Linked DNA regions of Callithrix jacchus. Each later gene encodes a partner of the first gene's protein in a complex. Links are inferred from orthologs where the notes say so. Each region holds a gene or a part of one and is shown on either strand. Other genes may lie near its edges. The genes, in order: QRSL1, GATC and GATB.

Region 1 (9,956 bases):
CCAAGGCATGTGCTTCAGAGAAGCTGAGATGTTTGAGAGAAGAGGGAAGAGAAGCACTGAGGAACAAGGAGATCATCTGTCTCCTCTCCCACTCTGGACTCTGTGGTACCTGGTAGGTAAGCACTAAACAGGAGAAGCAGTGGCTGCCAGGGAAAGCCTAGTTTCCATTAGAGAAAAGATGTGCCAGAGAGAGAATTTGTTTTCTTTTAACAAAAACTTGAAAGTTAACTTCGTTTTATATTTAGATATAACACCTGCAGTTTTGTCCTGGGAAACTATATGTGATTTATATTTCCTGCTTCTTATGCTCAGTCCATCTAGCTGATTAGCATCTTTGTTTTCACTTCTGTTTTCCAATTCCCTTATTGATTTTTTTTTCAAATCTATAGTTCCTAAAAATGGTCTTAATGAAAATCAGCACCATTTAAAGTGAATACTCCTAGACAGTCTTATTTCTTACCCTTCAACCACAATTGTAATCCCAGCTCTTAGCTTTTATCCTCACACCAGTTTGGAAGCAGCTTGAGGATCGTAGACATTAGGGGACTTGAGAGGAGTCAAGAAAGGAGAGAAAGTGGCAGATGGAATTTTCCTCATTATTACAACTTAGCCATGGGTGGGCCTGCCTATATATCTGTCTGTATATATTGTCTGTCTAGCTCTGGGTTTTTGCTAGTTCTAACTGTCTTCCACCCAGCCTATCACCATCTTTGTTCCATATACACGATATTAAAACACACGGCTTTTATTCCTTGTAGCTTCTTTCTTCTGAAGGGTTTACATTTCTTATAGACCATTTGACGAACTCTCTTTTGTTGTTACTATAGAAGTCACCTCCTTAAGTCAAACCTCGCTGCCCTCCCCATCCTTGCACAGTCAGTAGCCTCCCCATGGAAGTCCTTTTCCTCTTGTCTGTAAGCATTAGGGATCCTCTTCGTGGCCTCTTCCCACTGCTTGTTGCATTTAAAACCCTCAACCCTAAGAATGCCATTGCTTTGATGATTTACTCAATAGCTGAGAGCAGATCATTTGCAGATTTTCCCCTCAAATGCAAACTTCTCTTGTTTAGTGTGTATAGGACATGTGAAAAAACTGTCAACTTGGAGGACAAACTAAGCTTCCAAGAGAATAGAGACAGAAGTGGTAAAGACTGTATATTATGAAGTCACCCTGTCCTTTACCATTTGAGTGACTTTGGACAAATCACTCAAGGTCTCTGAGCTTCAGTTTCTTCATCTGTCAATTAGATAAACAATACCTAACTGTGTGGTTGCTTTAAGGGTTAATTGAAGTAATAATGCATGTAAAGCAACAGTGTCTGGCTCTTGGAAAATACTTGGTAAATATTATTCCTTTCTCTATTCTCCTTTTCTCTCAACTCCCATCTAATCTAATTATCTTTTCATAAAATCTCCAAAGCTTTGGTGTCATCTTTTACTTCTTGTTATTCATCCCTTTTATCTGATTAGTAACTACATTTATTATTACTTCCTACAGAAAATATTAGACAGTCATGACTTAATCTCAGGCCCTACTTCCTGTCAGTATACACTGATACTCACTACTTCCCAGTCACTTTTGGTGCAGTTCTTTACCAGCCTTCCTAACATCTTCCCTAAAGATAGAATTTCAGAGAAGTTTTCCAGTTTACCTTTGAACCGGTATAAGCAGTTCTCTCAATTTATAGTGTCTCTTACTTGAACTCCACAGTAGGTATAAAGATCTTATTTAGAGAGCCACAAAAATCCTGCAATGCCTTGTCCAGTTCACTTCTCTTTTTTCCCTCTCTGGACTGCCTGTGTTGCAGCTAAGCTACCCTCTCTACAGAATCTGCCCTCAGCCATCCTTCACCCATGCTGGGCCTCATCTCCCCTGGACAGAATGGTTTGCATAACTTACTGCTGTCGTTTGTACAGCCTGACTTTGAAACTGAAGTTAGCTAAGGAGAAGAATGTCATGTCCTTCACCTGTCCTCAAGCTGATCAGTGCATCACCCTTCATCCACTACACTAAGTGTTGAGGTAATAGGTTCTCTTGATTTTGAACCCAAGCCTCACTTCAAAATGTAATACTTAGCCACTCCATCACCCCCACCACCGCCAATATAACATTTGAAACTTCTGCCAACTCAGTAAAAGGTTTTTGAATTGTGTGTATAGGTTTCTGCGGCACTGAAACAAGGCCAAATTACACCAACAGAGCTCTGTCAAAAATGTCTTTCTCTTATCAAGAAGACCAAGTTTCTGAATGCCTACATTACTGTATCAGAAGAGGTGGCCTTAAAACAAGCTGAAGAATCAGAAAAGAGATATAAGAATGGTAAATTGCTTTTAATTATACTTCATTGTTATATCACCAGAGAAGTTTAATTGGTTGTAGCAGTCTCCCTTTGGCAAGTGAAGCTTTTAACATAAAACATATCCTTATTTAAAGAACTTGCCATGAGGATAATAAAAATGGGGTAATGGATATGTGATGCTTTATAATGTCCAACTCTATTAATTTCTGACATAAATTTGGTTTCTGAAGAATTATCTATGCCAAAAACTAGTAGTTACTTTAATAACATGTATTCGTGTACCTTTATGTTGTAAACTATCTCCTTTATCACTCATTTGGCTTTTTAATGCAGGACAGTCTCTTGGGGATTTAGATGGAATTCCTATTGCAGTAAAAGACAACTTTAGTACATCTGGCATTGAGACAACATGTGCATCAAATATGCTGAAAGGTAAAATTTAACTGATCAGAGCGTTGATAATTTTGTAAAAATAAGTATTTTTCACTTTAAGGATAACAAAGTACCAAGATAATCTCAGACTAATTGTATCTTTGAAGGAAATACTTAGAATATAATATCACCTTTTTCACTATTTGCTTTTTTAGAATGCAGAATTTTTTCTTAGCGTTAGGCCAGCTTAATGAACGCTACTTCAGAAGTTTTCAAAAATTCTATTAATATTTGGGAAGACTCAGTTCAAAAACTAATTACCAGCTGGGTGCGTACCTGTAGTTCCAGCTACTTAAGAGGCTGAGGTAGGAGAATCACTTGAGTTCATGAGTTTGAGTCCAGCCTGGGCAATATAATGAGACCCCCATCTCTAAAAAAACAAACAAAAAACACAAAAAACTGATCACCATGAACACACTTTATAACCTCTAACTTGAGCTCATTGATAACATGGGAATGAGTGTGAACTGGCTATCATTGACACCCCTCTCTTGTGGATGATGTGAGGATTCATCAACATCTACTGACCAGTTATTTTTTGTTTTCTAATTCCTCTATTTTTTGTAACACAATATGGCAATGCTAGATTTATTCTTTAGAGTTTGGTCAAAAGGAATCGGGTTTATCAAGATATTTGGATCCTTGGAAGGAAGAGAAATAGAAAAAGATTATTCAGAGTACTATATGCTAAAAGTAATATTCTATAAGGAATATGCCCCACCTTCCTCTAATATTCAGACTGTTGTTAATTATTTTGGAATATATAATAGGGCTTTTCAATAGTTAGAGGAAATTTTAGTTGAAAATAAAGATCTATTTCTAACTGGAAATACATAAAAATTACTGTGTGGTATCACATCATCTGAGAAGAAAAAGTCAAGTACAATGAGCAAAATAGACATTTCCTATTACTTTCATAAATACTAAGTACATCTCTGACTATCATGTAATATTTTGTAGAGCTGTTAAAGTCAGTGTTTTTAGGTAATAAAAATAGTTGGCCAGGCACAGTGGCCCATGCTTGTAATCCCAGCACTTTGGGAGGCCGAGGCAGGTGGATCACCTGAGGTCAGGAGTTCAAGCCTGGCCAACATGGTGAAACCCTGTCTCTACAAAAATATAAAAAGTAGTTGGGCATGACAGCAGGTGCCTTTAATCCCAGCTCTTCGGGAGACTGAGATGGGAGAATTGCTTGATCCCAGAAGGCAGAGATTGCAGTGAGCTGAGAAAAAAAAAGTGAAGATTTAGATTATCTTTGGAAAACATACATTTAAGCAGTAGGAAAAAAATTACTAGAAGAAAGTACAACCAATTATTTAAATATGAATAATTAATACATATGACTGAATTGCTTAATTACAGTTTGGACTGTTCTTTTTTTTTTTTTTTTTTTTGAGGTGGAATCTTGCTCTGTTGCCCAGGCTGGAGTGCAGTGGCGTGATCTCAGCTTACTGCAACCTCTGCCTACCAGGTTCAAGTGATTCTCCTGTCTCAGCCTCCCAAGTAGCTGAAGTTACAGGCACGCACCACCACGCCTGGCTTATTTTTAGTAAAGGTAGGGTTTCACCACATTGCCCAGGCTGCTCTTGAACTCCTGACCTCAGGTGATCCGCCCATCTCAGCCTCCCAAGTGCTGGGATTACAGGCATGAGCCACCACACCCTGCCAACTCTTGTTTCTAACATATGCTTGTTTCTTACGTATGATTTGCATGTTCACTGTTGTGTTTCCTATTAAAAAAAAACCAAAACAACCGGCCTTTTGGCGGGAATCACCATCTTCCAGTAATTCACCAAAATGACAAACACAAAGGGAAGGAGGAGAGGCACCCGATATGTATTCTCTGGGCTTTTTAGAAAACTGGGAGTTGTTTGCCACGTACATGCGAACCTGTAAGAAAGGTGATGTTGGCCAGGCGCAGTGGCTCACGCCTGTAATCCCAGCACTTTGGGAGGCCAAGGTGAGCATGCCGATCTTGAGGTCAAGAGATCAAGACCATCCTGGCCAACATGATGAAACCCTATCTCTACTAAAAATACAAAAATCAGCTGGGCGTGGTGACACGCAGGAGAATCAGTTGAACCCAGGAGGTAGTAGAGGTTGCAGTGATCCAAGATTGTGACACCACTCCAGCCTGGGTGACACAGCGAGACTCCATCTCAAAAAAAAAAGAAAGGTGATATTGTAGTCATCAAGGGAATGGGTACTGTTCAAAAAGAAATGCCCCACAAGTGTTACCATGGCAAAACTGGAGGAGTCTACAGTTACCCAGCATGTTGTTGGCATTGTTGTGAACATACAAGGGCAAGATTCTTGCCAAGAGAATTAATGTGCATATTGAGCACATTAAGTACTATAGGAGCCGAGATTGCTTCCTGAAATTCAAGGAAGCCAAAGAGAAAGTTACCTGGATTCAACTGAAGTGCCAGCCTGCTCCACCCAGCGAAGTGCACTATGTGAGAACCAATGGGAAGGTGCCTGAGCTGCTGAAGCCTATTCCCTGTGAATTCATGACATAACAGGTATAAACAAATAAAAGATCTCTGGACTGTAAAAAAAAAAACTAAATTTTTTTCAGGTTATGTACCACCTTATAATGCTACAGTAGTTCAGAAGTTGTTGGATCAGGGAGCTCTACTAATGGGAAAAACAAATTTAGATGAATTTGCTATGGGGTAAGTAAAATTGAAGTCTTCTCTTGAATTTCTTCTATCTGTGCCTTTATTTTCACTGAATGTAGTTTCCTGAAAGGATTGAGGATCTAATACCAGTTTCTTAGTCCCTCTGTGAGATTATGTTCAGTTTAATAGATATATAGTCATCTCTAATTTTGTTTTTAGTTTGTATTTCCCTGATGACTAATGATGTTAAACATCTTTCCATGTGTTTATTTTGCCATCCTTGTATCTTCATCAGTGAAGCAGCTGTTCACATTCTTTGCCCATTTTTTGAAATTGGGCCATCTTCTTCTTATTGCATTGTCAGAACTCTTTCATATATTTTAGACTCAAATCCATTATCAGACAGGTGCTGATTGGCAAATGTTTTCTTCAAGTCTCTGGGTTATCTTTTCATTCTCTGAAAATGCCTTTCAAAAAGTTCTTAATTTTGATAAACTCCAGTTTATTGATTTTCTTTTTCTTTCTTTCTTTCTTTTTGAGACAGAGTTTCACTCTTGTCATCCAGGCTGGAGTGCAATGGTGCATCTCAGCTCACTGCAATCTCCGCTTCCTGGGTTCAAGCGATTCTCCTGACTCAGCCCACCAAGTAGCTGGAACTACAGACACGCCATGCCTGGCTAATTTTTTTGTATTTTTAGTAGTGTTGGGGTTTCACCATTTTGGCCAGGCTGGTCTCGAACTCCTAACCTCAAGTGATCCACCTGCCTTGGCCTCCCAAAGGGCTGGGATTACAGGTGTGAGCCACCCATACCTGGCCTTCTTTTCTCCCCTTACCTCCCCGCTCCTCTATTTTCTTTTCTTTTTTCTTTTTTTCTTTTCATAGAGATATGGTCTCACTGTGTTGCTCAGGCTGATCTCAAACTCCTAAACCCAAACTGTCCTCCCAGCTTGGTCTAACAAAGTGTTGAGAAGCAAAAGCAACCTGAGTCTGGCCCATTTTTTTCCTTTATTTTTTAGAGATGGGGTTTCACTATGTTACCCAGGCTGGTCTTGAACTCCTGGGCTCAAGTGATTCTCTGACCTCATCCTTCCCAGTAGCTGGGACTGCAAGCACACATCACCTCACCTGGCTTAATTTTTTTCTTTTATGATTCTTTACCTAACCAAAGGTCACAAAGACTTTTCCCCTACAAGTTTTATATTTTAGCTCTTACATTTAGACCTGTGATTCATTTTGAATTAGACTTTCATATGTTGTATGAATAAAGTCCATTTATTAAACATACAGATACCCATTAATTCCAGCACTAATGATAAAAAAGATTATCCTTTCCTCATTGAATGATCTTAGATTTTTTTGTCAAAAATCAAGCACATTCACATGGTTCTGTTTCTGGACTCTGTTGGACCTCTGTTTATTCCAAGCCTTGAAATTATATAGTAAGAGTCTTCTTTGTTCTTTTTCAAAATCGTTTTACATAATCTAGATCCGTTGTATTTTGATATGTTTTAGAATAACCTTGCTAATTTCTAAAAAGAAGTTTAATGGGATTTTGATTGTAATTGTGTTGAATTTATAGATCAACTTGAAGAACTGGCATTATAATACATGTCTTCAAATCCATGAATACCTAAATTTGTCTATTGAGTGAGATTTTGTTTTTCTCAGGAATGTTTTTATGATGTTCTGCATACAAATTATATACATAATTTGATTTACTCCCATTTTATGTTTCTTAATGCTATCGAAAATGATATTTTTTTTAGTTTCTAATTGTTTATTTCTAGTACATTGAAACATAGTTGATTTTTCTATATTGACTTTTTATCCCACAACCTTGTTAAAGCTCGCTTATTAGTTCTAGTTGGTCTTTGTGTATTCTATGGAATATTTTATGTAGCAGATTATGTAGCCTGCAAATAGAGTTAGTCTTATTTCTTCTTATTTCTTTTACTTGCCTTATTGGCACCAGTTAGGGCCTTAGGTGCAATGCTGAATAGAAGTAGTAAAAGCAGATTTCCTTGCCTTGATTCTGATCTTGGGGAAAAGCATTCAGTCTTTCACCAAAAATACTTTATACTTACCCTTTTATGACACTCATCTCATTTGTAATATTTGCTTGGTCTTTGTTCCCTGTTTCATAGAAACAAGAGTCCTTGACTGTGTAGTTCAGAGTGGTATCTCTTGGAATTCATTAAATGTATGTTGAATGAACTAATCCATGGGAGTAAATTTGAACAAAGGCTCTTAGCACATTACCTTCATCAGCTCATCAAAATTAACATCACCAGTGAGGGTGAAGTGGATGGTGTGCCTCCAGATGTAATTGTCTAAAGATACGATATCACCTATGTAATATTCCAGCTGAGAATGTATAACCTGACTCTAATAACAGAGAAACAAAAGATTAATCCAAAATGAGAACCATTCTATTAAAATATCATATGAAAACAAAAAGGGGCTGTGAAAATCTTCCAGGATGAGAGATAAAGAAGGCAAAACCTAACATCATAAAACTTAAGAAAATTTAGAGTAGGTGGGGCCTGGTGGCCCACACCTATAATCTCAGCATTATAGGTGTAGGAAACTGAGGCAACAGGATTGCTTGAGCCCATGAGTCCTAGACCAGCCTGGGCAACATAGTGAGACCATTCTCTACAGAAAAAAACAACTTAAAAAAAAAACAGCGAAAAATCTTTGTGCCCTTGAGTTAGTCAAAGGTTTTAGATAGGACACATGAAGCACAAATCCACTTTAAAAATTAATAGATTAGATTCATTAAGAACTTCTGTACTTTGAAATATGCTAAGAAAATGAAAATGCAAGCCACAGACTGAGAAAAATATTTGCAAAACATATATCTGAGAAAGAACTGATATCTAAAATACATAGAACATTGCCCACCTCAATAACAAGTAAATAAGAAAAGAAGCAACTCTGTTTTTAAGAAATGAACAAAAGATTTAAGCAGGCATTTCATTAAAGATTAAAACATAGTTGACAAGCACATGAAAAAATGCTTAATATCTTTGATCATTAGGGAAATTAAAATCACAATGAGCCTGGGCACGGTAGCTTACACCTGTAATCTCAGCACTTTGGGGGGCCGAGGCATTAGATAGTGGACACTTGTAGTCCCAGCTACTCTGGAGGCATGAGAATCCCTTGAACCTGGATCACTTGAAACCAGGAGAGAGGTTGCAGTGAGCCAAGATCATGCCACTGAATTCCAGCCTGAGATAGAGCAAGACTCTGTCTCAAAGAGAAAAAAAGACAATGATAACTAAATGGAAGACCTGACTAGATTTGATCCAGGAAGGCGATAAAATGCCATAAAGTACATTATTGAATCAGTTGACACATTTGAATTACATATAGTACATTAAAGTATTGTATTGATATTAATGTTACTGAGATTGATAACTATACTGTAACTGTATAACATGATATCCTTATTCTTAGGAAATACACACTAAAGTATTTAGGGTTAAAGGGCTATAGTATATAACCTTTAAGATACCCTTGAGTATCTACATATGTACAAACATACACAGAGCACACAAGTAATAAAGCAAATGGGATAAAATGTTAACAATAGATACATCTGGATAAAGGGTATAAAGTGCTTTAGATATGTTATTTTTATTTTTGCAATTTATTTGATAATAAAATTTCAAATATTTAAAGTTATTAGCATTCCACTTGTAATGTTTTTCACAGAACTTCTAGTTAAGGGAGAGAGTTCCTCAGAAAACTTCATGTTTGAATGTGACCCTTTTCAACTGGAAGACCTTGATTCACAAGGGAAATCATCTTCAATCAAATTGGATGATTAAATGAGACAAAAATCTTTTCTCTTTTCTTAGCAGATTAGTTTTCTCTACTTTCTACCACCAGTGCTCTTCCTTCCCATCCTCCGAAACTGTCTAATTAATGAAAGCTACATCTGAGCAGGCTTCCCTCCTTTTTCAATTCAAGCTACAATGGGTTCTTAAATGCTCAATGAGTGTTAGAAGCAAATAATATACTCAGAAGGTGAAATTTTCACATAAAATGAAAGTTTTACTAAGGTATCTTGCTTCACTTCATCAGATCTGGAAGCACAGATGGTGTATTTGGACCAGTTAAAAACCCCTGGAGTTATTCAAAACAATATAGAGAAAAAAGGAAGCAGAATCCCCACAGCGAGAGTGGAGATTCAGACTGGCTGATAACTGGAGGAAGCTCAGGTGGGAGTGCAGCTGCCGTGTCTGCGTTCACATGCTATGCGTAAGATGCTTTTCTCTATCTGTATTTTAAAACCCACCCAAATACAAACATATAGTCATTAACTATATGTAAAATGCAGCAGTAGAGTAGTTCATACCTTCGTATTTTTAGTTTTAGTGAGCTATATGTGCTCAAAGGTATATCAAAATTATATCTTGTAATTGCACTCAACTGTACAGTACACTGTGTATATTTTATACTTCTAACTTAAATATATGTTAAAATAACATTTTTCTGCATAGTATCTGGTTCTCTTAAAATATGACTTTATGGATCTTGCAGAATAAAGCATTGAGCATAAATGAACTTAATTGCATTTCATTTTTTAAGTAAT
Region 2 (10,572 bases), on another chromosome or scaffold:
GACTAAAAAATAAGCAGTCTGTTAAATTACTGATATGGTAATCAGTAGTAGCCATGCTCCTGCTTTGAGTGGGCACAAACTGAGGGCAGAGCCTAATGGCGTTTGAGTCATGTCATAGAGGGACAAAGATGTGACAGGAACATCTGGGCTAAGGCTGCACCTAAGAACAAAGTTGTCAAAATAAGATTCTTTTAGAAAAGGACTAGTTTTGTGTGTGTGTGTGTGTGTGTGTGGCACCCAGCCCAAAGCTAAACAAATATTTATTCATGGTACGAATACTAGAAATCTATTATAGGATCTGGCATGTTCTTAACTGTGGCCTTGAACAAGTATGATCTTTTCAGACATTAAATTTCTTGTTTTTAAAAAAAAAAAGGCCAGGTGCGGTGGTTCCCGCATGTAATCCAAGCACTTTGGGAGGCCAAGGCAGGTGGATCACCTGAGATCAGGAGTTTGAGACCATCCAATATGGTGAAACCCTGTCTACTAAAAATAGAAAAGTTAGCCAGGCGTGGTGGTGCGTACCTATAATCCCTGTTACTGGGGACGCTGAGGCACGAGAATCACTTGAACAATTCTCTGCTTCGTGGGAAGCAGAAGTTGTAGTGAGCGGAGATTGTACCACTGCACTCCAACCTGGGTGGCAGAGTGAGATAGTGTCTCTCACACACACAAGAGTCACACTGGATTTTTTTTTTTGTAATAACACAAGGACTGCGCATTAAGAAAATTTGGGAGAACAAAAGTAAAAATCATACCATTCAAAGGTAACCCCTGGACTTTCTGGAATTTATATTTTCTGTTGGACAGTATTAAAAAATGACTAAGAGGTTAGGCTCTCAAGTCAGAGCTCAATTCAGATCCCAGTGCTATCATTACTTTATCCTCTCCATATTTCAGTTTCCTTGTTTGTCAGATGCCTCATAGGATTTCTGGGATGAAATGATACTAAAAAACAAGATCTGATAATGCTGAGCTTGCACTCACAGCAGTAAGAGAGGGGTCTGAGTGGCACCTGCTCCTTTCAGAAAGCCTTAGTGCACCCCAGTATACCTCAGTCCCCACCACTCATTCAAAGTCTGCACTTGTGAACAGGCATTACCTGCCTAGCATCTGAAGATTCTGAGAAGACTCTCCACTGCCAACAGGCGGTTGAATGCTACTGCTTCCCCAAGAGTAGATCTAATAGCAGCTAATTTATTTACTCATCATCAAGTAGTCAAGTTTCCTGTGTAAGTGGAATTTCCAGGAAAACAAAATTCACCCCTTTATTTACCACATATTTCCATTTAGTTACTGGTTATGATGGAGTTGTTCCTAAAATAGACCCATGTCTTCTGGGGTCATCTTTTCTTTCTTTTTTTTTTTTTTTTGAGACAGGGTCTTGCTGTGTTGCCTAGGCTGGTCTCAAACTTCTGGGCTCAAGTAATCCTCTTGCCTCAGCTTCCCAAGTAGCTGGGATTATAGGTGTGTACCACCATGCCCAGCTTTATTTTCTTAATAATGGGCTACTGAACCCGTAGTCTCTGACAGTGGTACAGCAAGCATACCCCTCACTTGATGAGTTGCTTCACTTTCTTGGACCTCAGAATTGTATAAAACACCAAACAGGACCAGATGAGCTTTTCAGATCAATTGCTGATTGATTAAACTTCTACCTCACTTCCTGTCTTTCCCACTCAGTGTTCTGTAAGGTAAGTTAGCCCACATACCCCAAGACACCCATTCTGATGATAAATTAACTTCTCTCCTATGTGTTTGGGCTAACATTTGTCACGTACTGTCCTTAGGAGAACTGAAAAAAAGTCACTTGAAAATTTGTGTTCTGGTTTGAGTGAGGAACCCTAGTTGAGAAAGACTTCAGCTGTAAACTAGAAGTCCCTGCCGACTGAAACTCATGAACAATAACTTAAGTAACTGTGGGAAATGCTGCTACAATGGCATTGGGAAGTGCTATGACATCAGGGAGGATAAAGTGGCTCCATTTGTGATCCTGTCAGGCTTTGGACTGACTGATGGGACAGTTCTCCCAGTGCTTTTGTTTCCTTGAGCCTCTTCCCTGGTATCTGGCTGCAAGGAATAAATTCTTTTTTTTTTTTTTTTTGAGACGGAGTTTCGCTCTTGTCACCCAGGCTGGAGTGCAATGGTGCGATCTTGGCTCACTGCAGCCTCCACCTCCTGGGTTCAAGCAGTTCTGCCTCAGCCTCCCAAGTAGCTGGGACTATTCGCACCACCGTGCCCAGCTAATTTTTGTATTTTTAGTAGAGACGGGGTTTCACTATGTTGACCAGGATGGTCTCAATCTCTTGACTTGTGATCCAGCCGCCTCCGCCTCCCGAAGTGCTAGGATTATAGGCACGAGCCACTGCGCCCAGCCTAGGAATAGATTCTTATGGATCCTTCTACTTCCATCTAAAAGCCTTTTCCTTTTCTCCTAGTTTATTTCTAGTTTGATGCAGACTGGAATAAAAATTATAATTATACCATTCAGAGGTAACCCTTGGTTAAAAGTTCTGGGCCAGGCAAGGTGGCTCACATCTATAATCCCAACACTTAGGGAGGCTGAAGTGGGTGGATTGCTTGAGCCCAGGAGTTTGAAACCAGCCTAGGAAACATGGTGAAACCCCATTTCCCGTAAAAATAAAAAAAGTTAGCCAGGGGTGGTTGCATGTGCCTATAGTCCCAGCTACTCGGGAGGCTGAGGTGGGAGTTCAGGAGATGGAGGCTGCAGTGAGCTGAGATTGTACCACTGCACTGCAGCCTGGGTGACAGAATGAGACCCTGTCTTGGAAAAAAAAAGGTCTGGGTTCAGGCCAGGCATGATGGCTCATGCCTATAATCTCAACACTTTGGGAGGCTGAGGCAGAAGGATCCCTTGAGCCCAGGAGTTCGAGACCCTCTGGGCAACACAGCAAGACCCTCTGTTTACTAAAACAAAAGCCTTAGCTGGGCATTGTGGTACACACCTCTAGTCCCAGCTACTTGGGAGGCTGAGGCAGGAGGATGGGTTGAGCCCAAGAGTTTGAAGTTTTTGGTTCAAATAAGACTCTGAGGGACATGGGACATTTAAGTATTTGGTTGTAATCAGAATTGCTGTCAACTCATTCTCTGGATTTCAGATGAAAGAAAGTAAAGTTCCTAGGAACTGACTTTAGCTGGCATATCTTAGAGCAGTATTTGGGATCAGAAGCTCTGAGTTCCAAATCCTCCATTTATTACCTCCATTTATTGAAACCAGCCTAGGAAACGTGGTGAAACTCTGGGCATATTACATAACCTTTCTGAACCTCAGTTTTTCCCATCTATAAAATAGATAACTTGTATTGACCTTCTAGGACTGTATGTAAAAACCGAGCCCCTGTCATGTAAGTACACTAATGTTTTTAGCTCAAACCAAATGACATGTTATCAGTGTGTAAAGAGATTTCTATTAACCAGTAAGGGCTTTTTTTTCTTTTTTTGGAGACCATGTCTTGCTCTGTTGCCCAGGCTGGAGTGCAGTGGCGCTGTCTTGGCTCACTGCAACCTCTGCCTCCTGGGTTCAAGCGATTCTCCTGCCTCAGCCTTCAGAGTAGCTGGGACTATAGGCACATGCCACCATGCCCAGCTAATTTTTGTATTTTTAGTAGAGATGGGGTTTCACCATGTTGGCCGGTCTGGTCTCAAACTCCTGACCTCAAGTGATCTGCCCAGTTCAGCCTCTTAAAGTGCTGGGATTACAAGCATGAGCCATCATGCCTGGCCAAGTCAGAGCTTTTAATAGCTAAGATGGCTACTACCTAAAACCATTTAAGCAACTTGGGATCCTGCAAAGAAGAATGGTGAGAAGAATAATGGCCATTTTGCCATCAACTAAGTGGTGACCCAAGAGGACACCATCAACATTCATAAGCATATCCACTGAGTGGACTTCAAGCAGCATGCCCCTCAGGCTCTTAAAGAGATGGGAAATTTGCCACGGAAGTGGAAAACTCCAGATACGTCCATTGATACCAGACTCAAAAAAGCTGTCTGGCCAAAGTAGTAAGGAATGTCCATACTGTATCCATGTGCAGTGGGTGGTCCAGAAAACATAATAATAATGGAAATTCACCAAACAAGCTCTATACTTTGGTTACCTATGTACTTGTTACCACTTTCACAGATCTACAGTGTGGATGTGAACTAACTTGCTGATCATCAAATACATCAATAAAGTTATAAAAACTGCCAAAAATAAAGAACAAAAAAGGTTAAATACCTGTCTTCACCTTACTGGATTCTGTTAGTGTTTTCATAAAGAACATGGTGAAACCCAGTCTCTACTAAAAATACAAAAAGTAGGTGGGTATGGTGGTGGATGCCTGTAATCCCAGCTACTCAGAAGGCTGAGGCACAACAATCGCTTGAACCTGGAGGGTAGAGGTTGCAGTGAACTGAGATCGTGCCACTGCACTCCAGCCTGGGCAACAGGCGGGACTCCTCTCAAAAAAAAAAAAAAATTTCTGGAGGAAGTGGGAGGCTGAGGTGGGAGGATGCTTGAGACCAGGAGTTTGAGACCAGACTGGGTAACATAGCAAGACCCTGTTTTTTTTTTTTTTTTTGAGACGGAGTTTTGCTGTTGTTGCCCAGGCTGGAGTGCAATGGTGCGATTCCAGCTCACCGCAACCTCCGCCTCCTGGGTTTAAGCAATTCTCCTGCCTCAGCCTGCTGAGTAGCTAGGACTACAGGCACGCGCCACCATGCCCAGCTAATTTTTGTATTTTTAGTAGAGACGGGGTTTCACCTTGTTGACCAGGATGGTCTCGATCTCTTGACCTCGTGATCCACCTGCCTCGGCCTCCCAAAGTGCTGGGATTACAGGCGTCAGCAACCAAGCCCGGCCCGCAAGACCCTATTTCTACAAAAATTTAAGAATTAGCCAGGTGTGTGGTGGTGGGCACCTATAGTCCCAGCTACTTGGGAGGCTGAGACAAGAGAATGTCGAATCCAGAAGTTTGAGACCAGCCTGGGCAATACAGTGAGACCCTGTCCCAAAGAAAAAAGAAAATTGCAAAGTGGAGAAAATATTTGAAAGAATCAAACACTGGGCCGGGCGCTGTGACTCATGCTTGTAAATGCCTGCACTTTAGGAGGCCTAGGTGGGTGGGTCGCCTTTGCTCAGGAGTCAAGACAAGCCTGGACGACATGGCAAAATCCTGTCTCTACCAAAACCAAAAAATTAGCTGGGCCTGGTGGTATATGACTATGGTCCTATACTTGGGAGACTGAGGTGGGAGGATCTCTTGAGCCTGGGAGGCAGAGGTTGCAATGAGATCATGCTACTGTACTCTAACCTGGGTGACAGAGTGAGACTCTGTTTCAAAAACAATAAAAAAAAAAAAATTCAAGGCAGGAATACAACAGTAACTAAATAAGATAACGAGTTCACATTGTAATAAAAGAGGCAAGAAATGAACAAAAGTCCACTAAAACGTCAGGAAAAAACTCAACAGGATAAGAGTTGCTGACTACAAGGAGAGAATGGATTTGGAGTGGTTAGGAGAGTCCTTTCCGAGAAGATAAGCTGAAACCTGTGCCAAGAGGGAGACAGCCATGCAAATACCGAGAGGCAGGAAAAAAACCAAAGGCCAGTGCAAAGATCTAGAGAGGGAAAGAACTTGTCTTTCTGGAGAAGCAGTCAAGGAAGCCAAGGAGGGTACTGAGAAGAGCAGTACCTTTGAGTAGGCAGGGACTCTGCATAGAGTAGGGCCTCAACGGCAATGGGGTTTTGTTTCTGCTTAGCTAGGAGGGCACGAGCGAGAGCATCCATAATGAACACGGGGAAGAGGAAAGCCATTGACTCGCGGGGTGACGGGCAAGTTCCTGAATCTCGCCAACGGTCTTTCACCCCCTGGAAAATGGTTCGCTAACTGCCACATTAAACAGCTGCGAGCCAGGCGCGGTGGCTCACGCCTGTAATGCCAACGCTTTGGGAGGCCGAGGCGGGTGGCTCACCTGAGGTCGGGAGTTCGAGACCAGCCTGACCAATATGGAGAAACCCTGTCTCTACTAAAAATACAAAATTAGTCGGGAGATGGTGCACACCTATAATCCCAGCAACTCGGAAGGCTGACAGGAGAATCGCTTGAATCCTGGAGGCAGAGACTGCAGTGTGCCAAGATCGCGCCATTGCACTCCAGCCTGGGCAACAGAGCGAATCTCCTTCTCAAAAATAAATAAATAAATAAAAATAAACGGCTGCGAACTGGCCCCAGTCAAGGCTGCGAGGCTGCAGCCGCAAGTTTACCTGTCCTCCAGGACCGACTCCATGGGCTCCACCCCATCGGTATCCACCGCGCGTAGCCGGTCGGCGAAGGCGATGGCTTTTTCCAGCCGCGCTACTGCCTCCCGGCTGCCGAAGTCCACAAGGGCTAGACGCTCCAGGTGCTCGATCACCTCGGCCGTGATTCGGCCACTGCCCTGGAAGAGGAATGAGGCGGGGAATGTGGGTCACCGGCGGGACCCGGTGAATGTGAGTCACCGACGATCCGGAGCGCTTCCCGTTTTGCTTCGCCACCCGCCTAGATGGCCCTGGCCTTTACCTGAGGATCTGTCTTGGAGGTGAAGCCCCGGGGCCCGCCCAGCGGGACCCGAAGGCCCAGCCACAACGCCCGCGCCAACATTTCTTCCTTCCTTGGCCCCGGTAGTGCGTCCGTGCGTAACGCCGAGCGGCGCGACTGAGTGATGACATCAGAGTGCGCCGCCGTCGCCGCCGTCACCACTATCGCCATGAACAGTGTGGGGGAGGCATGTACCGACATGAAGCGCGAGTACGATCAGTGCTTCAATCGCTGGTTCGCCGAGAAGTTTCTCAAGGGGGACAGCTCCGGGGACCCGTGCACCGATCTCTTCAAGCGCTACCAGCAGTGTGTTCAGGTGAGCCCTCGCGCCTCAGTTCCCAGGCCCCGCGTTCTTCGCGCTGTCTCCGCCACACTCATCGTATTTTACGGGGCTTGGGACTGGGAGGGTGGAGAAAAGCTGCATTGAGACCAGTGGGAGGAACCCTATCCCCTACCATCACCACCGAGGCCACTTGGGTGTCTCTCCGAATGACAAATATTGGTGCAGTGCTTTTCTTTTTAAGACGCACAGTCGGCCGGGCGCGGTGGCCCACACCTGTAATCCCAGCACTTTGGGAGGCCAAGGTGGGCGGATCTCCTGAGGTCGGGAGTTCGAGACCCGCCTGACCAACATGGAGAAACCTCGTCTTTACTAAAAATAAAAAATGAGCCGGGCATGGTGACATGCCTGTAATCCCAGCTACTCGGGAGGAGGTTGCAGTGAGCCGAAGTCGCGCCATTGCACTCCAGCCTGGGCCACAAGAGCGAAACTCCGTCTCAAAAAATAAATAAATAAAAGGCACAGTCACATCTTTTGTGACTGTGTTCATTTGGTGTTCATCCTAAACTTGCAAGGTGGGCATACTCATATTTTATAGATAGAGAACTAACACACAGAAGTAGGAAGTGATTGGTCCCGGTTCACTAGAATCAGGTTTCCTTGATTCTTTCGCAGGTGGTGCACGTTTCTAATATTACTGCTGGGGTCTCAGCGGGGTTATACTTCAGACTGGAGGATCACATTGTTTTAACCCTTCGGTAGCTTGTTTATCTCTACCAGTCCCCCCAACTGCAGATAGGAAATGGTCATTCTAGCCTAATGGATGTGGAACTGCTTTGAACTGTAAGAACAGCACTGGGCAAAGCACTTTCAATAAGTTAACCTAATACATCCTCACGGCAATCCCCCGGGGTAGTTGCTGTCTTTATCCCATTTACAGTTGAGGGAAGTGAGGGTGGCTCAAGGTCACATAGCCAGTAAGTCCTGGAACCCAGATTTGAACCTAGTCTTTCAGTAACACAAAGTGATTTTTTTTTTCAAATTTCACTTAACTTTAACAGTTCTCTCACAGCTCCTTTTCCAGTCTCCCTCAGGTCTTAACGCTTGATTTATTCATTATGGTACTTCTGTTTTTTATTTATTTATTTTTGAGGCAGAGTTTTGGTCTGTTGCCCATGCTGGAGTGTAGTGGCGTGATCTCAATTCACTGCAACCTCTGCCTCCTGGGTGCAAGCTATTCTCTTGCCTCAGCCACCTGAGTAGCTGGGATTACAGGAATGCGCCACCATGCCGAGCTAATTTTTTTTTTTTTTTTGAGACGGAGTTTCGCTTTTGTTACCCAGGCTGGAGTGCAATGGCGCAGTCTCGGCTCACCGCAACCTCCGCCTCCTGGGTTCAGGCAATTCTCCTGCCTCAGCCTCCTGAGTAGCTGGGATTACAGGCACGCGCCACCGTGCCCAGCTAATTTTTTGTAATTTTTAGTAGAGACGGGGTTTCACCATGTTGACCAGGATGGTCTCGATCTGTTGACCTCGTGATCCACCCGCCTCGGCCTCCCAAAGTGCTGGGATTACAGGCACGCGCCACCGTGCCCAGCTAATTTTTTGTAATTTTTAGTAGAGATGGGGTTTCGCCATGTTGGCCAGGCTGGTCTCTAACTTCTGGCCTCAAGGGGTCACCTGCCTCTGTCTCCCAAAATGTTGCAACTACAGGTGTGAGCCACCACGCCCGACCACTACTTGTTATTTAAAAAGTATGTAGTTTGAATCATGGTTATGAGTCTTGATAGTCAGCTTGACTTGACTTTCGTGCTATCATATTTTATTTACAAAGCTTGCAACTCAAGCTTCATATAGTCTTCAAAATGTGTTTTCACCTCTTACCAGAAAGCAATAAAGGAGAAAGAGATTCCCATTGAAGGACTGGAATTCATGGGCCATGGCAAAGAAAAGCCTGAAAATTCTTCTTGACCTTGATAGTCACCATGAAGTCCAGAAATTGAGAACTCTGGATTTTTGTCAACTGAATCTGTGAAGATAGCCATCAGGTTTGATGAGGAACTGCGGCGAGAGGAGTTTTATTTCCTCCTTCGATGTTTTCCTCTCAATTGTAAAAGATGATGAACTCTTTGAGATTATTTTTCACCTGCTCAGGCATCTTGCAGGAACTCAGTGTGCTAAAATTGAACAATTTTCTGGAATTATGGTTGCAATACTTGGTCTGGAATCAACTTTACATAAATATACCTTGTATGCAAATAATGATAAACTAGTTAGAATGAGCAGAGGTGCCTGACCTCTTGATTTCTGCTGCAAAGGACATTATATACACTGTACTGGGGTCATTGTTCATGAAAGCAATTGGTTAGGGTGTCTTTTTTCTCTCAGGGAACTAATGCTCTGAAAAGGGATCTGGGCACAAGTTTCAGGAAGTGCTTTTGAGCACACTTTTATTTTTATATGGTAACCAGTGGTTAAGATTGATGTTGGCCTGGATTAGCAAAGAGGAAGACAACTTTTAACACAGTTCCCTGCCTTCACAAGAGGTGTCAGATTAAGATGTGTAAACTACAAGAATGTTGCAGTGAACACCACTGCAGAGCTCTCAGTGCCCCCTTAATTCTTAGTTCAGGAATTAAGATACTTGGAATAGCTGTGGAGGAAGGACGTAAATTGCAAAGATCTGCTGTTGCCAGCTATCATCCCAAGTCAGTAAATTGTCAACTGCGTATCCTAAAAATGTCAAAATGCTGCATCTGTAAATGGGGGGGAAGCTGAAGGTGCTTGCTTTATTTGCCTTGTTTACTCATCCTGCTCTATAATGTCTGTAATCATGAAGATGGAATAAATTGCAACATTTTCTATCAATTATTTGCCTCTGGAACTCAGTGCATTTTATGGAACCATTACCCTGTTATCCTACAAACCTCATATTCATATATACACTGGGAGTTTTGTGTTTTGTTAACTTAAAGGTGAAGAAAAAGTGACTTGTCTAAGCTAGGTGGTACAGTGTGGCCATGAGAAACCTCACTGATTGTTTTTGAGACAGTCTCACTCTGTCACCCAGGCTGGAGTGCAGTGGCGCCATCTCAGCTTACTGCAACCTCCACCTCCTGGGTCCAAATGATTCTCCTGCCTCAGCCTCCTGAGTAGCTGGGATTACAATGCTTGGCTAATTTTTCTATTCTTAGAAGAGACAGGGTTTCACCATGTAGGCCTGGCTGGTCTTGATCTCCTGACCTCAGGTGATCTGCCTGCCTCAGCCTCCCAAAATGCTGGGATTACAGGCATGAGCCACCACATGTAATCCCATGTGGGATTGAGCCAGCCAAACCTCACTGTTTCTAAAATTTATTGCCACAATGGGCTACACAAATATATTATGGTACCAAAAAAGTCAGGCTCAGAAGAGAACTGTGGACTTTAGAACGTCACATAATCCCCACAATTGTATAATTTAATTTTATTATATACCCAAAAATAGTATGAAGGTTGAATTACAGGCCAGGTATGGTGGCTCATACCTGTAATCTTAACACTTTGGGACACTGAGGTGGGTGGATCACTTGAGCTCAGGAATTTGAGACGAGCCTGGGCTCCACAAAAAAATGAGCCGGGTATGGTGGTGTGTGCCTGCAGTCCCAGCTGTTTGAAAGGCTGAGATGGGAGAATACCTGAGCCTGGGAGGTGGAGACTGCAGTGATTGCAC
Region 3 (9,956 bases), on another chromosome or scaffold:
GTTCCTTAGAAATTAGTTCCATTTCATAAGTCTTGGCTCCATGCATGTGAAAAAGGTATCCACAAAATTTTCGGTTTTAGGTTGATTGGACAGACTACAGAGTGGCATTTGCTTTATTGAGTAGCTGCTTGTTAATCAAAAGAAAAAAATGACAGAAATGAACATAGAACTGTATGGATTTGCTGTGGTGGTCATGGCTTTGTGCTCTCAGCTCCGTGCTAACACTGTTTCTCTGCTCCACTCTGAATGGCAGGGAGGCTGCTACAGATCCTAGAGCCCCAGCTCAGCTGGCTTCTTGCCGGGTCAGGCCAGCAGGAGGCTCTGATGAGAGACTAGAGGTAGGAGGAAAGGAGCAAGAGGGTATTTCGCCTTCACTGCCTCCAGCAAAATCTCTGTAGAGGATGGGTCTTAACCAGGGCTCCAGCTTCTAGTGTGTTTCTAGCATCCTCTGATGGTCCCATAACTTGGGATAGGAGTGGCTTCCTGCTGTTGGAAATCTCCTGAATTGCTCAGCTGTGCCCTCTTGGACATTTCAGCTCTTCTCTCATGTGTAATAAAGTCTCTGTGTTAAAAGAGTGGTTTCCTTTCCCTGATTCATACAGTTTGTAGAACATTTTTGCTTTTATGTCACAGCTTAGAGTCTTTTGGATGTTGATAAAAGAAATGTTAAATTATTCATTATCTCGCCTAATTAGCTTGGTATTATATTTAGGTGATAGGGCAAAGAAGAATAATACAAAATGACCTGATTGCCCTGGGAAAACTCAGTCTGTTTGGAGACACAGTGCATTCTCCAAGTGCCAGGGGAGCTAAAAGGAAGAAAGACCTAGACTGAAATAGTGGTGGGAAAGATGTCACAAAAGAGGTGACATCCGAGAGTCTTGCCAGATGCTAAGGTCTTGCTCAAGCAGATGAGGAAGCAGGCCATTCCCAGCAGAAGCAGCAGATTGTACGAAAGCATGGTTCACACTTGGCTGCAGGAGCATGGTGATCAGGGGAAATGGAGGAAGAGGAAGCTAGAGAGGTGGTTGGGGCTAGGACTACCAAGGGCATTGAAGCCCCTGCCAGGCACTTGGACTTTATCCTGGTAGGACTAGGGAGCAGTAAAAAGGATTTTAAGCAGAGGAATTAGATGAACAGATTTATCCTTCAAAAAAGTCACCCTAGGAGAGGTGTGGAAGGGAGATTAGAGGGCTGGAAATAGAGGTGAGAAGCCTTCTGGCCAGGTGGTAAGTGGCAGAAGTCCTGGTCGGAGCGGGTGGTGTTTAAACAAAGATCTGAATTAAAACTGAAGGCCTGAGGAGGAGGGGAAAAATCAAGGTATGTTAAGAAAGTAGAATGTGTAGAACTTGGTGATTTTTTGAAAGTGTTGGGAGTTGTCATTAAATGATGGTCTCAGAGATCAGGGAATGTTTGTTGGGTTTAGCTAAATAAATGTTAAAACTAGAAGCCTGTTTCTCAAATTGGGTTCGCTGTGTCCCCTTAGAGGTCTCATGCAAACTCTGAGTTGTTTATGGTGCCCTATGAGCTGGATGTATCTTAGGTTTCAAACAAGTTATTATTGCAGCACTACTGAGTCTTACAAGTAAGCCAAAGTCAAAGACCCGCCACCCACCACCCCAGGATCTTTTTCCTGGCCATGATGTGCCTTATCTCTATCTACTAGTCATAAAATTTGTTGGCCATCCACTGTGTATTTGTCTCATCTCCTACCTCTACCCATCACAGCTTTCTCGTCTTCTGATTAAATAAAAGAATTAACCTCGGGGTCCAAAGTGGCTCCCGCCAGAGGTCATGGCGCTCACGAAGGCGAGGTCATCAGTTCAAGGCTAACCTCATAAGCTCAAACTGATTGACAAAAAAAAAAAAAAAAAAAGAATTAGCCTCTTATTTAATAAATCATTGTATGAGTACCTGTGTCTCAGGGTTTCTGAAGTCTGGCAATAGAATATCTTCTGCTAGTTGAGAAAACATGGAGGCTTACCCATCACCAAGTCTTCCACATGCCAGAGACTGCACTGAAAGAACACTGAGTTCTTTCATCTAGTTAAGAAAAAAAACAGTGCTTGCCCTCTGGGAGCTCAACATCTTCTGGAAACAAACCTACAGAGGGAGAAAGTGGCAAGAAGAAACACACTAGAAATAGCATCAGTCTTAAATGATGCACAGTGGAATTTGGGCTGAGGTGCTGCTCTCTAGTTACAGCCTGGTATTAGTAGGTTTGATAACTAAAACTAACATGCTTTTATCTTGTAAGATTTCAGATCGAATATAGTGGTTGAGAGCCTGGGTTCTGGGGTCTGACTTCTGGCTCTGCCACTTCTATGCGTCACCCTGGCCAAACTGCATCATCTCTGTGCTTCCCTTCACATAACATGAGAATCATAATAGTATCTACCCTCGGAATGAGAGGATTCAATGGCATGTGTGTGTGACATGCGGCACACCTCCTGACACAGTGTCAGTGCACATTAAATACTCACCACTGCCCCTTCCTTAAGCTAAAAAGAACCCTCTGAAGGCCCAGCTGAGACAGGTGTGCTGCATGAATACCAAAAGATTGCTGCCTTCTTCCAAACGAGAGCTGCTGTGGCTAACCCTGAGATCCTTTGTAGTCATTTAATTACAAATAAATTCTGGAACATACTTTCTTCAAGACAAGTTAGTCTTTTGAGTTTTTAAGTTAATCTTTGATTGTATCACACACAATCAGTTGTCACTTCAGGGCACTTCCAGAAACAAGTTTGAAGGCCAGCATGTGGCAGGTAACATTTTAGGGGAGATGGGTATGTATCACTGCCGCTCTGAGACTTTCCATCGATCCCCATCCCCTCCCTCCTCCTTTGAGTTCAACACACATTAATTAAGCATCACTATTTTTCAGGTTCTGTATTCAGCTCCAGGGATACAAGGGTGAACAATTTCTATCCTCATGAAACTTGCAATTGTGTGGAAATATATGTGAACAAATTCAATCCATTGTGATAGAAGCACCAATGGGAGTGTGTAGGAAGTCAGAAGAGGTACACAGAAAGGACAACAAGGAAGGTTTCACAGAGGTGGTGACATCTCACCAGGATTTTGAAGGGAATAAGAATGGGGAGACTCAGAAAATCAGCATGATTTGCACAGGAGAACTTGACCAGAGGTGTCAGGGAGTGGGGTGCTCGGTAGGAGATGAAATTGAAGATGTAGGCAAGAGGTTGATCATTTAAGAGCTTGGCCTATGTCGTGGGAACATCAGGGGCCATTGAGGGACTTCAGGTAACAGAATGCCACAGATTTACATTTTTAGCAGGATCAACCTAGTATAAAAGACAAACTTGAAAAGGGTTTGCAGTTGCTGGCAGGTTCATGTCACCATTGCTGATTCATTGAGGGCAGAGATAGGGTCCTATTTGTCTCTGTATCCCTAAAGTTTAGTGCTTTATAGACATTTAAGAATTTTTTTGGAGTGAAGACAGCCCAAGTTGAATTTTCCCATTCTGCATCCTATCCTCAGAACATGCTGACCTGGACCTCCATCTGTCACAAACAGCTTGACTAACATACTAGGACATTCCTTTTTTTCTTGGCATTCTTTTACCTGGCACTCTCTGTTTACTAGCCCCTCTGTACAGCTGTAGTATGTGGTGATTGATGCTTATAATTCTGACCTTGAAGTACTTCATGCCTTCTAAATCATGAAAAAAAGATTAAAGCATATTTAGTATCACTGTAATGTTTGTTGTTTTGCTGCCTCCTTCTTCTTTGGGAAGTGGTGGTTTATGAAGTGCCCATGCACTTGTGTGCACACGGACACAGTGAGAATCTGTGATTACCCCCAACTCTTCACCCACAGGGAGGCTAGATGCATGCTCAGACATAAACAAAATAACCTGCGTTCTCTTCATGCCTAGGGAGGAAGCAGCTTGGCCCCAGCGGCAAAGTGGCTTGAAATGAGAGCAAAAGCAGTGGTTAGGAAAGCAGAGGGAATGATAAAGCAGAACTGGTGTAGACCAGGGAGTCAAGCAGTTTATGAGCCAGGACATTCTGGCCCCAGTAAGAGGAAAGCCCAGGGTCAGGACTCCAGCTTCACGTTCTGTGTGCCTGGACCCAAATCATCAGGGTTGGATTTGGCAGGATTAGCATCTATATTTGTATCTCAGTAAGAATCACTCAGTAAAATGCCAAACATTAGGCAAGTGAAAACATCAATAATTAGAGCTTCCTGTTCCCCACACATCTTTTCTTGAAAACCTTTATTGCTGCAGAGCTGACGTTATTAGGCACAGAATGAAGAACTCCAAATATAAACTGTGAGATGGCTCCACCTTATAACCTGAGACCTGAAAAAGAAGGGTGTGATGTCACTAGGAGGGAGATGTGTTTCGTTTTTCTTTGGGGACTGTATATTGCAGTAAGTAGAAATGCCCCTTACATTTTGTTATACAGATTTCTTTTTAAAACCTGTGTGTTTGGTCAGCACTCATCATCCCAGCCCAAAGAGCCAGTCCCTGAACCACAGAAGTTCTGGTGGGCGCCTCTAGGCCAGCAGGGCATGTGTGGGCTTTACAGGCAGCTTCACCACTTGCCAGTTCTGTGAATTTGGGCGAATGTTTTAGACTCTTTGGATCTTAGTGTTGTTTTTTTTTTAAATCTGAAATATTGGAATAATACAGATTCCTTATTTTACAGGGTTGCTCTGAGGCTGAAATAAAATGCTGAATGTGGAAATGCTCCATTAGAAGGCCTCGTCCATAGAAATAATAGTATATTAAATATACCAAAGAACATCATAAATATCCTCGTAAAACAAAGAAATATATTTCATCTGCAAACACGACATCTTCCAAAATTTTCCCAAAGTAGAGTAAGGAAATGAACTATTTACTCTTTAAAGTAAACTATTTACTATTTAAAGCTATCACTTTATCCATTCTGCAAAGTAGATCTTAAATCTCAATTTTAGACACAAGGAAACGGAGGCTCCTAGTGACAGATGTAGCAGAAGTGGGATTCAGACCTGACTCAAGAACTGAATGCTCTTTCTCCTAGGCTACATTGTCTTTTGTTGTCTGTCTAGTTCCAAACTCCCAGGGTTCTTAAAAGCTGTTCACATCCTTTGGTGCTGGGAGGTATGCTCGCCATTTCTTAGTCATTCACTCCTGTAAGAGGGGCACGGTGGGACCCAGAAGGAACTGGAATGCCAGGCACTCCTGGAGAGTCACCAGCATGATGTGTGGCACAGGCCCTCCTTAGGAGTTCCACATTTAGGGAGTTGGCCTGGCACGGACAGAAAGCCAGGCAACAGCTGTGCCACATTTCCTAGTCCTTGAGAAAATGGCTATAGCCCTGTTGTTTTCAGAAGTTCATTCTTTTTCTGTCAAAGTAAAGCAACCCTTCATCAGAACTTCTCCCAGGAATCAGGGCCTCTTGTGTATTCTGACCGGTCCCTTATTCTGTTTGTAGAGGAAGTAAGATTAGATTTATTCTATGTAGTAAGCACTCTGCTAAGCTTTTCTGGGACTCTTCCTGTTAGCTTTGATGCCAAGCATCGGGGGAAAGGGTCCCCGATGTGGCAGTTCATTCAGTGCCCAGTGGGACCCACTGCTGCATGCATTTTCTTTTTTATATCCTTTCTCTGAGTCTCAGGCAGAGTCAGCTTGTGAACTGGAGCTGCCCACCCAGAGAACCAGAGATAATGCCTGTTGAAGGGCCAAGTTGCATATTCAGCGAGGATGTCAGTGTGTGGGAGAAGCATTTGTTCAGCCTGCGGTCCTGAGAGGAACTGTGTGTTGTGTTTCCATAGGTTCTCAACAGGAGGTGTGTAGAAGCGGCGGTGATGACAGGCCTGGCTCTGAACTGCCACATAAACAAGAAGTCCTTGTTTGACAGGAAGCACTACTTCTATGCAGACCTCCCTGTAAGTACACTTTGCGATCCACCCCACTACAAGTTCTCAGAGCTGAGCCAGCCCTGCTGTGGGGGGTTGGAGCGAGGAAAAGGGACTGTGTCTCTCATGTTTTCAGCCAGCACTTGTGTCCATCCCAGTGGGAAGTTCTGCCCGGTCCTGATGCAGGCAGGTGCCCCCGATGTTTACTAGATTGGATGCAATTGTCTTGATTGCTGACTTCTTGCTTGCCTCATGCTTCTGGTGGCTTGCTCATAATTGCACAGGGAGTAGAAGTCAGTGTTCTCAGGCTCAGCCCGGCTGTGGTATTTGGTGCTAATTGCCTGTTAGTACAAAAGCTAAGCCTCTGGCTGATGCAACAGTAAATGCATACTGTAGCTCTGTCGGAAGAGGGAGAGTGTCTGGCTTTTAAGTTGAAGTTCCCAATAATAGGGCCGTCTCCTTTGGAGACATTTCTGTCATCTCACAAGGAGCAAGTAAGTGGACAATAGTAAGCGGAAACATGAACCAGAATCCTGGACCAAGAACAGTAATTGGCTGAGCAGTAAACGCTGTATTGACCCGCTTTTTTTCCGAAAATTAAAAAGTTTTTTTTTCTTAAAGCCACACCATGTGAATGAGAGCCAATTTTTCATACTATTGAACTGTAACAGAACTGAAATGTTGAGTGGGTTTCCCAAAATCATGTTTCTTTTGATATGATTTGGAAAAACAACAGTAATGATGTTGCTTCACCTCATTCTCCTTAAACTGAAGATTGGGGTAAGCTGTTTTTTAATGGGTGAGGGCATGAGTAGAATTAAATAAAAAATCCAAGTAAGACCTGCATTCTTCAGTGGCTGCTGCTTTTCCCCTCTGGTCTTCAGCCTCTCAGCAAGCCCACTGTTTCACGGGGCAGAAATAATTAAAACTCCATTTCTTCATCTTTTAGGAGTGACAGTTTGGTTGAGGTGGGAGATTTAGTAATAATATGACTAAAATGAGGTGTTTTGGTCATCTGTGGCTTTCTGGTCTTTCTGGCCCAGATAGTTCAGATAATCCAAGTTTCATGAGACCTATTTATCTAATAAAGCATTCCTTGTTTATCTGAAATTCAGATATAACTGGGCGTCCTTTATTTTATCCATCAATGCTAACCAGAGCTTAGTTTTACAAATTGAGATTTCCCGTCTTAGCATAGAAAATGGGTTACCCTTTCACAGAGTTCTCAAAATGTGGTCCCCAGGGCACTAACATCATCATCTCTGGGAACTGGTCAGAAACATAAATTCTCAGGCCCCACCCTCAACCTACTGAATCAGAAACCTTTGAGGTCAGGCCAACCAGTCTGTATTTTGACAAACACAGCAGTATTTCTGATGCTGTTCAAGTTCTTAAACTGCTGGCTGGCCAAGTAGTGAAAGACACAGATCTTGGAGCCTGACCACCTGAATTCAGACGCTGACACTGATGCTCACTAGCTCTGTATGTGGCTTTGGGCAAGGTCCTGATCCCTCCGTGCCTTGTTCCTCTTCTAGGGTTGTTGTGGAATTAACTGAGCGTTACACAGTGAGAGCAGCATCTGGGCCCTAGCAAGTGCTGCCGATGCCTTTGCTCTTATTCTCTGTTCTTCTTCAGTTCCCCTCATTGACCTGCCATCTCTTTAGTGTGTATTGATACATGTGTCCATTTGAAAGTAATTCTTCCTTTCCACTTAGAAGCTGGTGAGGGATCCTTGCAAGATCCGTCAGTGCTTTAGTACTATGTGCTTTCCGTTAACGGAGGGTGAGTGTCACAGCATTTTCTGGCTGGAGGAACTAGGGAAGTTGGGTCAGGGAGGGCAGCTACCATGATTGATTTCTTTAAAAAGCAGAAACCAAACAAGCTTAAACACACACTAGCAACTGCTGTTGGCCCTGTGGAGAATAGATGGCAAAGTGCTTAGCCAGCATTCGGAATAAGGAGGGTCTGCCAGGAGCCCGGTAATGAGATGCAGAGTTTAGGCTAATGAGCTGGATGGAAACAATAAATTCTTTTCTTAGGGGCCCCTGACAATGAGATTATTGTTATTCCCCAATACAGCACATTAGTGAGGGTGATGGGATGAATTCGTGTTGTTTCTTGTGTTTATTGAGGGTGGAGGATTTGGGGAAGGTGAAGGAGTGACGGCAGGAGCAGAAGGGACCAGGCTCAATGATGGCTGCTATGCAGCAACTAATTTTTCTTCTCCTTTTCCTTTTTTTTTCTTGTTACCATTTTTGCTTTAAGTAGGCCTATCTTTGTCTGACATTGTAAAAGGGATAGTAAACTGGATCCTAGCTTTTATGTGTTGACCAGTGACTGTGTGTACCCTATGTTTGTGTGCAGGCAGGCTACCAGATTACCCAGCACAGGCTCCCAATCGCTGTGAATGGGAGCTTGACATATGGCATCTCTGCAGGGAAGGAGTGCGGTCAGGTGATCCCCAAGATGGTGAGGGTCAAGCAGATCCAGTTGGAGCAAGACAGTGGCAAAAGCCTCCACGACGACCTGAGATCTCAGACGCTCATTGATTTGAACAGGGCGGGTAGGCTTGGAGTGTTTTCATTACTTCTCCTTCCCACTTCATTTCTTGGATTGCAGGCCCCTCTTTTTCCCACCAGAGTTTTCCTTAACAAATTGAGAAAGCAGTCACAGGAGCCTGACAGATGGAGACCACAATATCAGCCTTGGGATTGGCATACGTGATTAGTGAGCATGGCTTGAACTGTGATCACTGTTAGGCTTGCTAATAACTCACCCCTGAATTTACACAAATTTAACCACCTAATCGCAGATCCAGCAGTTGGATATTTAAGCGGTCGTTAAAAGGGTTGAAACAGTTAAAAATCAAAAAGTAGGGCCTAGCGGTGGTGGCTTACATTTGTAATGCCAACGACTCAGAAAACTGAGGTCAGAGGATCAACTGACGCAGAGTTTGAGATGAGGCCGGGCAACATAGCGAGACCTAGTCTCCAAAACAAATTAAAAACAGCCAGGTGTGGTGCCATCCACCTGTAGCCTCAGAGGTGGGAGGATCACTTGAACCCAGGAGTTCAGAGCTGCAGTGAGCTGTGATCCTGTCACTGCACTCCAGTCTGGGCAACAGAACGAGATGACACCTCCAAAACAAAAAAAGTGGGAGGGAAGAATGATTCAGAGGCTAGAACCACTTTGAGAGTCCATCAGTAAGGCAGAGTTTTCCTGAAACTTAGGCCTGATTTTTCTGCTGGTGAAATTGGCGAGCTGCAGTGAGGCTGACTCTGCCTATCTTTGGTAGGAGTGGGCCTTCTGGAGGTGGTCCTGGAGCCCGACTTGTCCTGTGGAGAAGAGGCGGCAACAGCTGTCAGGGAGCTGCAGCTGATCCTTCAAGCCCTGGGGACCAGCCAGGCGAACATGGCAGGTAGAAGCCACAGCAGCAGCATTCTTCTTTCCCTCTCCCTTCTTGCCTCCTAGACCTTCTTTGACTTCAGTTTTATTTTTCATCATCAGTTATATTGAAGTTGTTTGCAGCCATTTTTCCCCCAGTCTTTTGTAATCCTGTTTTGGTTTTTCTTTAGAATTCTCCTCGGGTTCTTTACTGAGCTCCAACTCAAATACAAATATACGACCAATAACAGTGTAGAGACACCAAACCGTTAATGAAATAACGGCTTTGAACAGTTCAGTCTTTCTTAGGAAGAAGACACTGTTTCTCAAGAACACTTCTTAGTTTGTGAGTTCCGTATAGATAGCACTTCATTGTCAGTTGCCTCTTTTCCTTTGGGTCTGTTTCTTGTGTTTTGTAGATTTTTCATCCATATACAGCTCAAGCCAAATTATATTGACTATAAGCGAAGATTATGAAAACTTTAACCTGAGATAAAATCTTAATTAAGTTGAGTAAAATATAGGAGGAAACTAAAACAAAAGAAACACTTGCACCCTTGGGACCAAACGGACTACACATTTTAAACATTTGCAAATTGCATATAAAGATCACAGGTTTTGGTCACACTCAATTTCTTCGTGGCTGTAGGTGTCCTTTGCCCTGGCCTGGTACTGCTTTGTTCTTGCGTAAGTCCCT

Evidence for each region.
Region 2: QRSL1 (region 1) and GATC share a complex: the UniProt entries of both Homo sapiens proteins name them as parts of the heterotrimeric GatCAB amidotransferase (AdT) complex. The link is inferred for Callithrix jacchus from reciprocal best matches to the Homo sapiens genes QRSL1 and GATC.
Region 3: QRSL1 (region 1) and GATB share a complex: the UniProt entries of both Homo sapiens proteins name them as parts of the heterotrimeric GatCAB amidotransferase (AdT) complex. The link is inferred for Callithrix jacchus from reciprocal best matches to the Homo sapiens genes QRSL1 and GATB.

Annotation. Positions count from the first base shown.
Region 1 is NC_133505.1:112,794,595-112,804,550, forward strand, and holds part of QRSL1 (glutamyl-tRNA(Gln) amidotransferase subunit A, mitochondrial), read left to right. Parts: intron 1-2,138; exon of another isoform or gene 2,139-2,159; coding exon 2,160-2,319; intron 2,320-2,632; coding exon 2,633-2,731; intron 2,732-5,309; coding exon 5,310-5,406; intron 5,407-9,445; coding exon 9,446-9,622; intron 9,623-9,956. UniProt on the Homo sapiens protein: Allows the formation of correctly charged Gln-tRNA(Gln) through the transamidation of misacylated Glu-tRNA(Gln) in the mitochondria. The reaction takes place in the presence of glutamine and ATP through an activated gamma-phospho-Glu-tRNA(Gln).
Region 2 is NC_133510.1:123,577,311-123,587,882, reverse strand, and holds the start of GATC (glutamyl-tRNA(Gln) amidotransferase subunit C, mitochondrial), read right to left. Parts: upstream 6,672-10,572; 5' UTR 6,645-6,671; coding exon 6,564-6,644; intron 6,442-6,563; coding exon 6,269-6,441; intron 1-6,268. Other genes in the region: TRIAP1 (TP53-regulated inhibitor of apoptosis 1), read left to right, coding at 6,751-6,897, 8,748-8,831. UniProt on the Homo sapiens protein: Allows the formation of correctly charged Gln-tRNA(Gln) through the transamidation of misacylated Glu-tRNA(Gln) in the mitochondria. The reaction takes place in the presence of glutamine and ATP through an activated gamma-phospho-Glu-tRNA(Gln).
Region 3 is NC_133504.1:45,000,903-45,010,858, forward strand, and holds part of GATB (glutamyl-tRNA(Gln) amidotransferase subunit B, mitochondrial), read left to right. Parts: intron 1-5,791; coding exon 5,792-5,905; intron 5,906-8,239; coding exon 8,240-8,438; intron 8,439-9,170; coding exon 9,171-9,293; intron 9,294-9,956. UniProt on the Homo sapiens protein: Allows the formation of correctly charged Gln-tRNA(Gln) through the transamidation of misacylated Glu-tRNA(Gln) in the mitochondria. The reaction takes place in the presence of glutamine and ATP through an activated gamma-phospho-Glu-tRNA(Gln).